Pelodiscus sinensis: one gene and its partner. The protein of the gene in region 1 binds, or shares a complex with, the protein of each later gene. Links are inferred from orthologs where the notes say so. Each region holds a gene or a part of one and is shown on either strand. Other genes may lie near its edges.

Region 1 (6,958 bases):
AGTGCAAGACTCAGTATTTAAATGTAACCTTAAAGGAACTATATGCCCACCTTAATTACTGTATGGCAAGTTCCCATAAAGTTCTAAGCAGGTTACTCAGAAACCACATGCAATTTTCATACTCAAATACACCACACAAGCATCCTATGTTTCTTTTACTCTTACGTTTAGATTATTTGGTCTGGTTATTTAGATTATTTGATTATTTATCTATTACTATGTTGTGTGTGTGAGAGAGACATAATATTGCTCAGTCAGTCTTCAAGTGCCTCAGACCAACAGGGAAATCTGCCCTTTGAGATGTCTCTGCATAACAGATGACATACATATGCAATGAGAAACACAGCAGAGCCAGTGTAAAGTTTCTGCAGTGTATATCCCACCCCCAACAACTTGCATAACTGGCTCCTTTGATAGCTACCATAGTGCTGAACTAAAACAACCTAAAAGCCATCAGTGTGAGACCTGAACGGAGGAAAACTTCCCGATCTGAATAAAAACAGGAAACGACACAAAAGATATGCCCTACTGATAGTGTGAGTGGTCGTTTGAAAGCACAAAATAGCCTAGAAAATTTCCTACTTATCTCGAAGTACAAGTAATATTTCTAATATGGACCGTGTTAAGTGAAGCCCTAGAAAAAAATCTGGCATGTCGTTTGCTATTATGTACCTGAGAAAACAACTAGTAGTACCCGCTTGTAAAACAGAAAAAGCAAAGACACGCGAAGAGCTAGCTGAAGAAAAGATACTCGAACATTTAGCTTCAACAGGAGATAAACAACCAAGCAATGCCTGACGGTTTAAATCGTTCTGGACCAATGTTGTTATCCCTTCCTGAGCATTTTCATAATCACAGTCGGGTTTATTCATCATTTCTTGCGCACAGTGGTTTGGATTTCAGATTACTCTGCCCCCGAGCCTTGATAAGCAACTCTGCTTTTATCAACTCACATGCATGTCTCTGTGTTACTTCCCCAGGAGTTTGCTTTGCTTTCAGACAGAGCCTCAATGTCAGCCCGGCTGAATGCAGCTACAAAGAACTGCATCACAGACCAGACACGCTGCCACGTATGTCCATGCACCTACGTCCCCTCTCCCCTAGTTCAGGTGCACAGGGCGAGAACAGCGCCGGAGACATGCAGCTCGCTGCACGCACTAGTTCCCAGGGAAGGGAGCTGGCGCGCGCTCCGGAGCCGTGTGTCTGAGCCGGCGTTACTCAAAGGGACTGTGAGTGAGCGCGTCCAGCAAGCCGCGGGCAGGACTGAATTCCGAGCGGCATGTTTTGCACGCTAGGACGCCCCTCAACGCCCCCTATGTGCAGGCAGTGCGCGTGGGAATGAAGCACTGTGGCACCCGGGCAGAGCAATCCCCGCGCAATGACTAGCCACAAAGGGGATTGGAAGACCATCCCCCTAATCCTCGCACAATGCTGCATCTTTCCTCCAACGGGGGCGGCCTGCGGTCCCAATTCCCGCAGGTCACGACCCGGCAGTGACTGGCTGCCCATGAAGATCTGCTCCACTACACCCCTGGGAGACGGATGTTCAACCCTCTTGACCCGCGCGCAGCCATGTACGCCAGGCGAGTCTCTGCGGACTCGGGTCCAACAGAGTCTCGCACCCGCTCGGAGCTGGTGCAAGGCGGCGGAGCCTGAGCCACAGCGCCTCCGCACGGCCACACAAGGGGGCTAAGCGCCTCCACCAGGCGCTTTCGGCGAGGCTGGCTCAAGGCTTGGGCAGGCAGCGCTTGGGCCAGGTTTTTATGGCGGGTGCCCGATGGGGGAAGGGGGCGATGATTTGGCCAAGGCTCCTCCAGCGGCGCCGGGGGGACTGGTTTGGAGAAAGTTCCCTCTGGAGGCGCTGGCGGGAGCTGGTGAGCGCAGAGGGGAACCGCCGGGCTATAGCCATGGCTGGCTCCTGCTCCAGCGGAGCGTGAGCGAGGGTTTCCCGCCGCAGATGCCCCGGGCCGACGGCTCACTCACCTCGCTCCCCGGCCTGGATGGAGCGCACGATCTCGTCCAGGTCCAAGTAGCGGCCGCTCTCGTCGAAGCTGTGCACGGCCATGTGGAACGCCTCCTCCTGGAAGACCACATGCACCCCCTCCATGGTGAAGTAGCAGTTGCGCTCCTGGTTGTTGTCGCTGTAGAGCAGCGTGGCCCGGCTCCACTTGTGGTGCCGGAAGAGGGCCAGGAACATCTCGCCCATCTTGGAGTAGGCGGGCGAGACGCGGATCAGGTGCGAGTACTCGCCCGTCTTGGTGCTGAAGCCAGTGGCCAGCGCCCCCGCCGAGATCATGGGCAGGTTCCAGTGCGAGGCCAGCCGAGCCACCGGGGCAGCCGCGTACTCGCAGACCGGCCCCAGCACCAGGTCCGGTTTCTGCTGCTTCAGGGCCACCAGGTCCACCAGGCTGAAGAGCGCCCGGTTGCCGCACTCGGAGTCCTCGTAGATGGTCTCGAAGCGGTAGCCCGGCAGGCAGGTCCCGTTCTCCTGCAGGCTCCGCACGGCGTACTCGATGCCTGGCTTGACCCTGGCCACGGAGAACAGGTAGGAGTTGTCCTTGGGCAGCAGCACCAGGACCCTGATCAGCTTCTCCTCCTCGGGGCTGCTGCTGCTTGCCAGGAGCATCCAAGCCGCCAGGACGCAGGGGAGGCTAAGTGAGAAGAAGGATGGCATTGTTTCAATAGCAGTGAGCTCCCTCCCCCCTCTCGCTGCTGCCTCCGAGTCCCCCTGGGTGCCCTGCACAGAACAAGAAAGTGCTACCAACCTCTTCCCCCTGCACACTTTAATACAGGGATCAAACGCCTGGGGTGAGAGGCAGCTGCTGGGCTCTCGCTCCGTTGTTGGGTGGCTTATTTTTAAGGGTGTTTTTCAGGTTAACTGGCCCAGCAACTTGCTAATGGTGGGGCATCTTCCTCCCCACGCGCTGCCTCCTTCCTGATCTTATTGATCCTCCCTGGTCTATAGCCCTGTGTTTAAATAGTGTGGGAGCCAACGCGCCTGTTGCCACACATGGCGCTGCGAGGCCGGGTTTGTGTTTGGGGAGGAGCCGTTCATTAACATTCCTGCAGGGCTGATCCGCCCCTCCGCCCTCCTCCCCCCCAAGAAAATCCCGACTCCCCCCAGCCCGCCACCCCTCTTCCTGTACCCAGCCAGCCGTCCATCCCGTCCGGGAGCGCTCTGATGAGCTGTGACTGCAAATAGGGGAGCAAGGGGAGAGGTGCGGAGGCAACGAAACAAATCGTTCTCCCCCTTTGCAATGCGGACTTTGGATATCCCTGCACCCCCATCGTGCGCGTGTCCCATCAGGGCGTGTAAAAGACGCGTTTAAAATCCGGACCTGGGGATGCGGCGAGCGCGAGTAACACGCACGAAGTTGGCTCGTAATGCTGTAGTAACTGTGGATGGGAAGCGGCTGGGCCAGTGCAAGAGGCAGCCAGCCTGTCCCGGAGCTAAAGCAAAGCACCGGCGTTTAGTAGCGCTGCTCTCCGGACTGCGAGCTGCCCTCCGAATGAATTAATCCCCCAGCCCCACCAATAAAAGATCCTGTCATGCAACAGCAGCCCCCGCTGGAAGTGGCAGAGTGGCTGTGAGAAATGCTCTGGGCAAAAGCACCCTGCAGCTGTTCTGCAGCAAGGGAAGGTAGCGGTCAGCTAGTCAGCGGTCCTGCTGGGATCAGCACAGGACCTGGAAGGAAGAGGACATAGTAGCTGCTTTCCTTGGGCCCCCAGGCAGGATCCCAGACAGAGCAGTATTATAGTGGGCAGTTTGGTACTGCGCTCAGCGTGCCACATGGGCTCCGGCTGAGTGGTACCTTAGTGCGAGAGCGCACCCATTGCCACGAGTGGAGCAACTCCTCGTGGTAGAACAACTCAGCCCCAGAGTGGGTGACGAGCGTACGGGCTACTTCCTGTATTTCACTGGCAGTTCCATGGGAATCAGTGGAGTAGCAATGTGAGTAAAGCTTGCAGTATCTGCCCCTAAATTAACATGTGCTAATTGTGCCCTTGTTTCTGGGGTTGTGTGGGAGAGAAAGCCCTGCTACTTGTCACAGCTTTCTTGGGGAGAAGCATAATTGAAACACTAGCATCCAGGGATTCCCAGAGGATAGATCTAAGAGGCTCACTAGGGTCAGGGAGTAGGTAGGATTTTGGATGTGACCCACAAACTATCCAGCAGAACTGGTCGGCAGCATGAGAAGCAAACTGCCTCCTTTAAAATGATGTAAATACCCCCACTCCATGAAACCGAGGAGATCTGGGAAACATTGTGCCACTCTGAGACAGTGCCCCATGGTGTAACCCTTAGAACAGTTCTGCATTACCCCTCCTTAGGAGCTTAATAGACACAGTTTAATTCCGCAGAAGACTTTGTGTGCCCCAGGAAATAAAGTGTCTAACTAAAAGCAAAACTTGTTTTTCACTTATATTATTTCATATAACGAACTTGTATTTACTGTTCAGAGAATTGCTTATTTAACACTATGCTTTGGTGTGAAAAATTCCCTTAAGTAGTTTGGACACCACTGTCTGACTAATTTACTTAGCTGTTGTCCATGGTAGAAAAAAACAACAATCTTGTTTTTAATATGTATTGCTAGCAAAGAACTATAACTTTTGGAACTGCCACTTGCAAATGGATGATTTTTTTCTGAATAAGAAACCTTTCTCAACACTAAATATTGAAAAGAATTAAAATGATATAGTGAAGGAAGATAGGAACAGAGTGGAGAGGAGAACTAACTGCATTTATCACTTGTAAATGCGAGATCTCTGTGATTCTGCATATTTCATATTGGTCAGTGGTCCTTGTCTGCACGCACAGAGTAATACTGCATAATGTTACATTTTATACTTATTAGGAGAGGCCCCAGGTTATACTGGTGGGTGAGTGAACTGCTTCTAACCTTACAGGAGGGGTCTGTTTAGCTCAGGGTTGAGGTCATTGTCAGGGCAATGTCTATAAACAAATTGTTGCTGCCTTACTGTACAGAGTGCAAATTGGAGACTTTGGTTCCTAGTGGAATCCAGCTGTTTGTCTTTGAGAGCAGTGAAGTCTGAATTAAACACAGGAGGAAACTACAAATGCTTGTAAAGCAATTAAACTAAGCAATGGAATTAAAAATGCCCAATCACATTATTTTATTTCCTGTGCACAGCAACTAAACAAAAATTAAACTAGGATATTTTTCTGGAATATTTATCAAATGGAGATTAGCCAAAAATAAGATGCAGAAGTTCTAGGAGAAGCAACTTGCCTGGAAGATATACATTTCAAGTAATTATGTGATTACTTAATTTGGTTTCAGAATGGTTTTTAAGTTAAATGGGTACATCTGTTCCAATGAAGATAATTTTGTATGCTGCATTGCCAGCCCCTGCTTTCCATTGACCCCACATGTCTGTTTATGACACTGCAACCTGGCAACATCTCTTAGTTTTTTTTGTTCAAAATTTGTCTTTCATTTGTGTGTGCTGCTTTTTGTCTGAGAGCATAAACTGTGCCAATATGGAAGAGATAAGAAGCAAACAAATCACAAGTCAGCCATCCTAATTTATTTTAACTACTCCTCAGGGAATATAAGGTACTAAGTATACAGGACAAAAATGATAAAAAGAAGACTGGAAAATACCAGTTGCTAATAGAAGCTTGAAGGCCAGTTTTGATATATAGATGCAGATTTGGATTTAGGCCTGCCCCAACCTGCAACTCTTATGCACTTGAGCATTGCCATTCAATCTAGTGGATATCTGCTTTAATAAACATTTCTGGATCAGATCCTTAAAGCACCAGGATCTTTTGGAGCCCAAAGTGTATGTATAACAATTTATTGTTGATCCAAATTGCATCTATCATTTAATCCACCTTCTCATGAGTAAAAATACAGTATGGCCACAAATATTTTCCAGGGCTATAAATCTAAGATTGCTTTCTCATGAGCAAACATAAGTAATTTCAGCTACATACACAATTGTTAAGAGGAAAATCTTGTACAGTCCTGAATCTTTTGTCAGGCAACATGCCCATTGGCTACAATAAGAATGAAGATTTCAGAATCTGTCCCTTTAGGATTAAGATAATTATGAAATGGTATTTTCCTCCCAAAATAGCATGCATACCAATCAAGAGTAGAGTCACTGTTCCAACACAAAGCATTACAGTAAATTGTACTTTTTATTCTGGAAGGCTTAATTCCTAAATTAAAGTTCCAGATAACATTAAGAACAGTTTATGAAGCCTCATCTAGTTTAAGAAAGTTCTTCTTGGGGGAGGGTTTGATGAAAACACAGTACCCCCTAGAGGTTGAAAAGATGAAAGAACTTAATACTGTCTGCTGTGCAAATAATTTCCTACTTTTTCAATTTTTAAATTCTTTCCCTGTTTTCCTATGCAGTTTTTATTTTATTTTGTTGTTATATTGTATATTATGGATGTGCTATTGATTCATTATATATCTCAGTGTATCTTTTTCATGTTTTTGTACATAATGTTAAGTGAAATGCAACCAAGCTTTTAAATGAAGATACTACAGCATGAAATTTCATGAAGGACAAAACTCATAACAAAAAATTAAATTAAACAAATTAATATAAGATCTTCTTTAATGTTTTTTCTTTTGTTATTGAAATACATAAAGGAAATTCACCAACAATGAGTGATGTATATTAGGGCCAAAGAGGATATATTAGAAAACCTAGTTTAATAATACAAAAATAATAATTAATAATGAATAACGTTTTGGTTCTGTGGTGACTTCTATGTGCAGATCCCAAGTACCTGGCAGATTAACAAATTAAACTTCACTGTACACCAAGCCTATTTGAAAGATAAGTAAATATAATTAGTTCAGTTTTACAGATGGGGAAACAGAAGGGTTAAGGGGATTGATTATGGCCACACTAAAGGTCTGAGATAGATCATGGGAAAGAACTTGGATCATCTTCCTCCAGTGCTGGATCT
Region 2 (8,015 bases), on another chromosome or scaffold:
TACGACTGCTCACTGTGTGCTAATGAGCCAGGGACTTTAATATCTAGCACATTTTGGGATGAGAAGGGGAGCGTCCTGTACAAATTGAAACTGGTAGTTTGGGTGAACCCAGCTGAATTCTGCATGTGCCCCACAGCTCTGGTTGGCCCTTAGCGAGAGGGAGCTGCCCGCAGATACTAGCACAGATGCTATGGGATGGGCATCTGACAGACACCTTTAACAATTCCAAGCAGGTGAAGCTGCTGCCTCAGCCTCCTGGCCTTGCCAGAGCAAAATCAGACATTACACAGGGGGATTTGGAATTTCCTTAGGCTGTTCCTCCCTAGTTGGGTGACGGTACTCGGCTGTGTTTCCTGGGCCCCATTGCACCCTCCCCCACTGTGCATCTTGCTGGTTCCCACCATCCTACCTTAGACATGGCTGCATTTCCACCATGGGGGAGACACGCTCTGTACTGATACAGTGTCCAGACACCATGCTCAGGTGTGTCCCCCACAGCTCTGAGCACCAGAAGCTGGGACTGGCTCACTCCATAGCCCTGATCTGTGCATTCCCCCCGGGGCCACTGTCGCTGGACTGGACCGACCCTTGGACTGAGCCAGTCATGCCCTGCTGGTGGCTTTGGCCAGCTCAGGACAGAGCAGACAGGCGGGGGGTGGGGCAGGGCCATCCTTACCCATATGCAGAATGTGCAGCTACATAGGGGCCCCGCTGGGTCTTAGTATCCCTGTTCTGTGGCTGAGCTTCCGCCAGAGAGGATCTGGCTAACCGAAAGGTGACAAAGCCTGCTAGAGCCATGGGCAGCGCACGGAGCGTGGGAAAGAGCCATGCTGGGGTCATGAAGCCATTTCACAGGCATGTCAGTATAAAATCACGGCTCTACAAAATCGTCACACGGGGCCCAGTTTACCAGTCCTGTAGGGCCCCATACACGCTAAGGAGGCCCTGGGTGGGGCTGTGCTGGGGGGCAGCTGGAGCCCAGGGGCTGCGGGACCCGCGCGCGGCAGGTGCAGCCCCGGCCCAGCCGGCTGCAGGAGGCACTCACCGCCGCCAGGGGTCGCCGCTCTAGCAGCCCAAGCCGCTCATGGAGCCGATCCGGTCCAGCTTGAGGCCGAAGCAGCCCTTGGACAGGCCCTTCTTGCTGACGCCCTTGTGCCGCCGCGTGCCGGGGTAGTCGCGCAGCAGCCGGGCCCAGGCCGCCCGGGACTTGGTGTCCACGCGCAGCTCCCGCAGCAGCCGCGAGCCCGCTGCCCGGCCGCCGCCCGCAGTCTCCTCTCGCGCGGGGCTCGCCGCGGGTTCGCGTCCCGGCGCGTTCCGGGCAGCCTGCGGGGAGGAGCGCGGGGCGCGATGGCGTGAAAGCGGCACAGACCCCGGCCCCGATCCCGGCCCGACTCCAGCCGCCCGATCCCGATCCCAGCCTCCCCTCCGGCCCCGATCCCAGCCTCCCCACCGGCCCCGATCCCTCCGGCCCCGATCCCAGCCTCCCCACCGGCCCCGATCCCAGCCTCCCCACCGGCCCCGATCCCTCCGGCCCCATCCCAGCCTCCCCACCGGCCCCGATCCCTCCGGCCCCGATCCCAGCCTCCCCACCGGCCCCGATCCCTCCGGCCCCGATCCCAGCCTCCCCACCGGCCCCGATCCCTCCGGCCCCGATCCCAGCCTCCCCACCGGCCCCGATCCCTCCGGCCCCGATCCCAGCCTCCCCACCGGCCCCGATCCCTCCGGCCCCGATCCCAGCCTCCCCACCGGCCCCGATCCCTCCGGCCCCATCCCAGCCTCCCCACCGGCCCCGATCCCTCCGGCCCCATCCCAGCCTCCCCACCGGCCCCGATCCCTCCGGCCCCATCCCAGCCTCCCCACCGGCCCCGATCCCTCCGGCCCCGATCCCAGCCTCCCCACCGGCCCCGATCCCTCCGGCCCCATCCCAGCCTCCCCACCGGCCCCGATCCCTCCGGCCCCATCCCAGCCTCCCCACCGGCCCCGATCCCTCCGGCCCCGATTCCCCCCGTACCAGCCTCCGTCCGCCCCGATCCCAACCGCCTCCTCCTGGCACCAAAGACCCCCCCAGCCCGGATTCCAGCCCCCGGGACGCCCCGTTCTAGATCCCCCCCCCCCCGCCCGCTTGCGCGCTCCCAGAGTTCTCGGGCATCTCCCCTCCCACCCGCAGATGGTGCAGCGGGACCCGGTCCCCGCCCCCTCCAGCTTCTCCCTTGCGCCCAGGACCCCGGCCCTGGCCTGGCCCGTCGGGTCCCAGCCCCCAGGTTGCTGCTGCCTCCTGCAGTCAGCACCGACGGGCGCCGCGATGCACCTGCCGGCCGCCCCACTGCCAGAGGCTGGTCAGTGACACCCGGCAGGGAGGGGCGGCTCCGCTCCAGCCCCCTTCTCCCTCAGCACCAGCGGGCTGGAAAGCAGAGCGCAGAGCTGCCTCCGCCGGAGCGGCCAGTCCCCACCCGGAGCCGGGGTCTGGCGGGGGGGAGGGACACGCCGGGAGACCCTGAGACCCAGCAGCAGCCAAAAGGCTAAAGGGGGGAAGCTCCAAAGAGCAGGAGGCTGCGCCGGAGGCGGGGGGGGGGGATCTGCCCCCACATTCCCCAAAAGCCCCAGCACGGAGCAGCGCGGGGCAGGGCTGCGGGAGGGAAGGAGCCACCCCGCTTGTCAGAGTTCCCCTTCCTCCCCCGGGAATCCGCCTTCCCGGGGCGGGCTGGGGGTCCCCGTCCCGTCCCTGAACTTCTCGGCTCCCCCCAGGGCGCAGCGCCCAGCGCGCCTCACCTTCTGCTGGGGCTGAGCCGCCGGTCTCGCCTCCAGCCCGACGGCCAGCAGGGCCAGGAGCAGTCCGCACGCCAGGACCTGTGAGAGCCGCATGCTGGGGGGCAGGGCCCCGCTGCGTTCGGGCAGAGCGAGCCGCGCCGAGCCGAGCCGAGCCGAGCCAGGGGAGTCAGCCGCGCGCGCCGCGAGCCCGACCCTGCTGCTCCTCGAAGTGCGGAGCCCGGGCTCGGGGCTGCTCCTCCAGCCCCTTTATAGCCCAACCTGCCTGGTGATGTCATCTGCCCCGCAGGTCCGGCCCAGCCCCCTGCTCCGCCAGCGCGCGGCGGCCCCCGTGACACGCGTGGGGCTGGCTGGGCGCAGCTTGGCCGCTTGGTGCCGGGGGCGCAGGGCGCGCGGGGCCGACCCCTCCGGGGAGCCCGCGGCCACCCCCAGCCCGCCCTGCCCGGCGCCAGCTCGAGCCACCCGCCGGCCCCGGGCGCTTCGTCCCCAAAGCAGGTGGCTCCGGCTGCGCCCCCGGCCCCGCTTGGGGCTTCCCCCGCCGGCGCTCACCTGCCGGGGCTTTGGGGGGCGCCAGGGGCCCCGGGGTGGCCCCTCCGGGCCAGGGCGGGAGCGGGGCTCCGGGCCGGGGGCTCTGAGCCAAGCCCGCTCCGCGCTGCCGACGAGCGCTGGGTCCTCGCCGGGAGAGTCGGGGCGCCCGGGGCCGGCTCGCTCCGCGCCGTGTCGGGGCTTCCCGCAGCCGGGGCGCTGGCTCGGAACCCGGCCCGGGCCCCGCCACCCGCCTGGCCGCTCCCCACGGCCCGGGGTCTCGGCGCCTGGACTCGGGGCAGCGCGGGGGGGGGGGGAGTCCCTTGCCCACGAAGCTAGGCGCAGGCCGGGGGCCAGGAGCTCCCTGCGCCTTGGGGAGGCAGCGCTGGTACCTGGCAGCCGGGAGAAGCTCTGGGGGGTGATTACTCAGCAGGGCTCCAGCGCTGCCCCCTGCCTGGGGTCAGGCCTGCGCCCCCCAGCCGCCTGCGTGCAGTGGGGCAGGACTCTGCCCCGGCCGGGCTGCTGGGCACAAAGGGGGTTGAGCCGGGGGAGCTGGAAGGACCCAGTCTCAGGTCCCTGCCAGGCTGGGATGCTCTGGGCTGCTTTCAGCTCCTGGGTTTGTTCCTGGGGGGCAGAGACTGGAGCTTGGAGGGCTCATGCCCCAGTGACCAGGACTGCAGAGGAGGAACCGAGAGCAGAATTTGGCCCAGTATCTTATTTTCTGGCTAGGACTTTTCTTCCCCAAAGAGTCTGTTCAAAGGATCTAGGCAGGACTCTGCAATGGGGCTGCCTCTGGGGTCCAAGGAGGCAGCTTTTTAACAGCTCACAGCAACACTGGTCAGTTTAGGGCAGGAAGAGAAGAAAAGCAGGTGAGATCAGAGTCACCTCCCCAGTGGTGGCCACACTTCAGTGATCTCTGGACTAGGGATGTCATAGAGTAGTTGATTAATCGATTAACTGATTCACCGATAAGCAAAAGCATATTGATTAATGCTGTAGACTACACACATCCCCTCTGCCAGTACATTTTTTAGCAGGCTGGCCAGCAGCCAGCTCAGTCCTGGTTTGTGCCAGGTCCAGGACCTACCCCTACTGTGGCTCTGCATTTAAAGTGCGTTAGGCAGCCCGGCTCAGTCCTGGCTTGCGCCAGGTTCGGGAGCTCAGACACCATCACCCCGCTGGAGAGAGGCTGCTGCCACCTCACGCTGCTGCCTCTGTCTCAGAGGCAGCAGCCCCAGGGTGACAGGCAGCCAGTCTGCGAGGGGAGCTGGTCCTAAGGGCCCCACACCTGTGAGGTTTGCAGTAGTGTCTGATTGTGGCAGGTTCTTCGTCAGTGTCCGGGAGGGTGAAGAAACGCTTCATTTTACACAGGGCCAGAGGCCAGGGCCACAGCAAGGGAGGTGGCCTGGGGAGCTGTTGCCAAAGGGTCTGGAGTCTAATTCCTGACCTCTCGCAGGTCCTCTGCTGGACCCCACTACAAACCCACCAGGGTGCAAGGCCTTGTCCCGCCATGGCAGACCAGCACCTTGGAACCTCCTGGCTGGACAGTGACATTCCAGGGGCTACAAGAGCATCTAGCTGGCATGGAGCTTGGCAGAGGGGAAGGACTTTGCAGCTCCCTGGTAGCGTTGGCGCTGAACTATTGAGCTGCGGCGTGGTGGGGAAGGGCTACAAAAGCCAGGCAGGAACGGTCGGACGCTGGGTTCAGCACATTCAGCGGTGTCATGATTAGAACGGGCTGGGGCTAGCTCACTCGGCTTCCCGAGTGTGGGGGCAGGCTGACCCCGCTGCCAGCACCAGGCCCTCCACTAATCCATAGGCCACAGTCACTTGGAGAAGGGGGCTCGGGAGAAGCGGGGGAGGGGAGGGGCAGAGTGGGGTCAGGGCTTAGGGGCTGTGGAGGGGAGGGAGCAGGGTGGGGTTGTCCCAGGCTCTGTGGCCCCCTAGAGATGGCCCTGCTGAGGGATGGGGCTGGCCGCTGGAGCCTGCAATGCCACATACACAGCTCACAGCTGGGTAAGGCCCCATGAAATGCAAATCACTCTGAGGGGCAGGAAAAAGAAGACGGGTGCAGGAGTGACTGAATGGACCAGAGACATGGCCCTGCAGCCAGCATGCCGGGGGGCCGGAAGGGGGAGCGACACATCCTTCCCTAGTGCCTGTCATGATCAGCCTCATCCATCCGGCAAGAGGACTTACCCCTGTGGGGCCGAGATCGTTTCAAACACAGCTTTAAACCGGTGCCACATCAAACATTTCAAACCACGTCTACACAGGGCCAGAGGCCAGGCCCACGGCAAGGGAGGCAGCCAGGGGCGCTGTTGCCAAAGGGTCTGGACTCGGGGTCCACATGGGGGAGGAACACTGGGAACTGTAACCAAACCTCAGTTTATTTAACATCATGCCCTCAAAGGGGCGATCCAGCCCACGGGGGATGGGGCCAAAGAAGTGACAAACAAACCATTGTCCTTGTCTCTTTCATTTGCTCTTTACTTGGGGGGTAATTTTCAGTATGGGCTCATGGCGGGGGCTGAAGGTTGCCTTGACTAATGCCCTGTCTAATTCCTTCAGCGCCAGCGGTGATAACCCAGGCCATTAGCCAGGGCTGGGCATGGGCCAGCCTGATGTAGAGGGGTAACATAGGTAACTGGTAACATTCACTGAAACCCCATGGGGGGCAAGTTCGCTTATTAGACCCTTGATTTCAATGGTAGGTGCCTACATATCTTTGGGGTTCTGGGCCCTTGTCAATATCGGCCAGCAAATCACAGGCCATGGGCAGCTGGATCACAAGCTGGAGGTTCCGGATGTCCATGAACTCCTCTGACCTCTGACCTTGGACACAGCCCAGCCTGCCCCAATGTGGTGCCCATTTTTCTCGCGATGCCCGTGACCCAGGGAGTTCCCATTCGGGCTGATTGGAGGCAACCTGTCCCTGGCCGGAGCAGTGGCGGAGGAGGGGTTAGTCTCAGACCTTTGCTGCTGTCCCGTGTGATGGAATTTCCAGGCCACTGTCTTTATACGGGGGCTGCTTGGCTCAGCCACATGTCCCCTGCTCATGAAACACCTCCCGGCCCCAGGGGCTGTGCTTCCAAGCTGGCACTGCCTTGGGAACAGTGAGGCACCAAAGAAACCTCCACCAGCCCTCTGTCCTTACGGGGACGGAAACACCCCGGAGATGATGCTGCAGCACCCTCGCCATTCGCAGCCACCTCAGAGCTTTAATAAAGGGGGGGCCAGGCACGAGTGGGCCCCGCTGCTCCTGATCTCACTGACTCTGCTTCTCCCCTAGGGGCAGCTCCACTGACTTCAATGGAGTCAATCCTGGATCTACACCAGTGCGGACACAGAATCAGGACGTCACTGCTGCCGCCTTGGGAACAACAGCCATGGGATCAGAGAAGCAGAAGCAACAGCTCCCACTCCGGCACCGAGACAGCACCTGGCCGGGGGTGGGGGACATGTCAGGGGGCCTGCTGCAGGCACATGCCCAGAAGTGTATCTGTAGCCATCTACCCCCCAGAGCCATTTAGCTTTGCCCTGTTGGCATGGCTGCAGGTGGCATCGCTGGGCGCGAAGGCGGTATAGACAGAAGAGGGTCTAGGTCCCCCCAGAGCAGCGGCTGTCTTGCGAACCCCACAGGGCGGGAAGTGAAGCCTCTAAGACTTTCTTGGGATAAGAGAACCCATCAAACCTGCTGCCCTTTATGGGAGAGTTCAGGGGGTTCATTAAATATTGTGTCTGGGAAGGGGGCGGGGCGAATCCCAGGATTTTCAGCTCCAAATTCAGGGTTTGTACTTTTTAAAAAGGAGGCCGTACAAAATCAGCTGTGAAGAGACTGTCCTAAGAGCATCAGCGGGGAGAGGGGATTTTGTGGGTTTGCCTTCCCCTGCCACACTGACAGCCCCCCCCCCCCCGCACACACAGGGTGAGGGCAGGAGATGCACTGTGTGTACCTGCCCGGACTGGTTTCCCTATCCTGGATTTTTAAACCCCTCCCCGCAGTTTCCGTCCTCTTGGCTGCGGTGAGCCGTGACATGGGCCAACAGTTGCAAACCTAACTGCCCAAAGTCGGTCATTTAAATCCAGAGGAAGCCATGGCTGGGCAGATCCTGGTTTTCAGGGGTGCTGAGCAGCCTGGCTCTCCCTGAGACTGATGGGAGGAGACGGGCGCAGGACTGCGAAAACGGAGCTACAAGGGTCCAGACCCTCAAAGGGGCTTTTGCACCCCACTCCCCTCGGCTTTGAGGATCTAGGCTGAGATTTGAATTTAGGTGCCTTGCTTGAGGCACTTCCGCTTGAAAACTTTGGCCATGGGTTCTGACATGCATGGGCATGTCTGCACTGTAGCTGGCACTTTCCACTGAGCAAGACCTTGCCGCACAGGGCTTGGAATTCAAGACCCGGGAAACTCTGATTGGTTCTAGAGTCCCCCGACCAGCTGTTTTTTCATGAATGGCTCAGTGCAGCCGCTCCAAACTGGGCTCACCTGTGTCTGATGTAGCCAGTTATATGACAGCCCTGCATGATATAAGGAAAACCTGGCAGCTGGATGAGTAGTAGGTCTAGGCTGCCGGTGGTGGGAGGTAGAAAAAGGCCCACGGGGAGCAGACATCTGCTGGGGGAAGTGTTGGGCAGAGCCCTTGCTGGGAGGGATACCAGGACCTGTTAAGTGTAGCCATGGAGGAGGGTGGTGGGAAAACACACACTCGCTTGGAAGGGTC

What was found.
Region 2: the proteins of NPR3 (region 1) and NPPC are in contact, whole or in part, in a crystal structure (PDB 1JDP), measured with the Homo sapiens proteins. The link is inferred for Pelodiscus sinensis from reciprocal best matches to the Homo sapiens genes NPR3 and NPPC. Residues at the interface, in NP_001191304.1 of Homo sapiens: Asn110, Tyr138, Ala141, Pro142, Arg145, Ala161, Gly163, Phe164, His166, Glu170, Tyr171, Tyr204, Lys208, Leu209, Arg211, Tyr214, Phe215, Leu217, Glu218, His221, Glu222, Gln225, Ile233; in NP_077720.1 of Homo sapiens: Gly109, Cys110, Phe111, Gly112, Leu113, Lys114, Leu115, Asp116, Arg117, Ile118, Gly119, Ser120, Met121, Ser122, Gly123, Leu124, Gly125, Cys126.

What each region holds. Positions count from the first base shown.
Region 1 is NC_134716.1:107,934,533-107,941,490, reverse strand, and holds the start of NPR3 (atrial natriuretic peptide receptor 3), read right to left. Parts: upstream 3,001-6,958; 5' UTR 2,675-3,000; coding exon 1,984-2,674; intron 1-1,983. UniProt on the Homo sapiens protein: Receptor for the natriuretic peptide hormones, binding with similar affinities atrial natriuretic peptide NPPA/ANP, brain natriuretic peptide NPPB/BNP, and C-type natriuretic peptide NPPC/CNP.
Region 2 is NC_134720.1:49,834,591-49,842,605, reverse strand, and holds the start of NPPC (C-type natriuretic peptide), read right to left. Parts: upstream 3,002-8,015; 5' UTR 2,863-3,001; coding exon 2,770-2,862; intron 1,324-2,769; coding exon 1,066-1,323; 3' UTR 1,046-1,065; intron 1-1,045.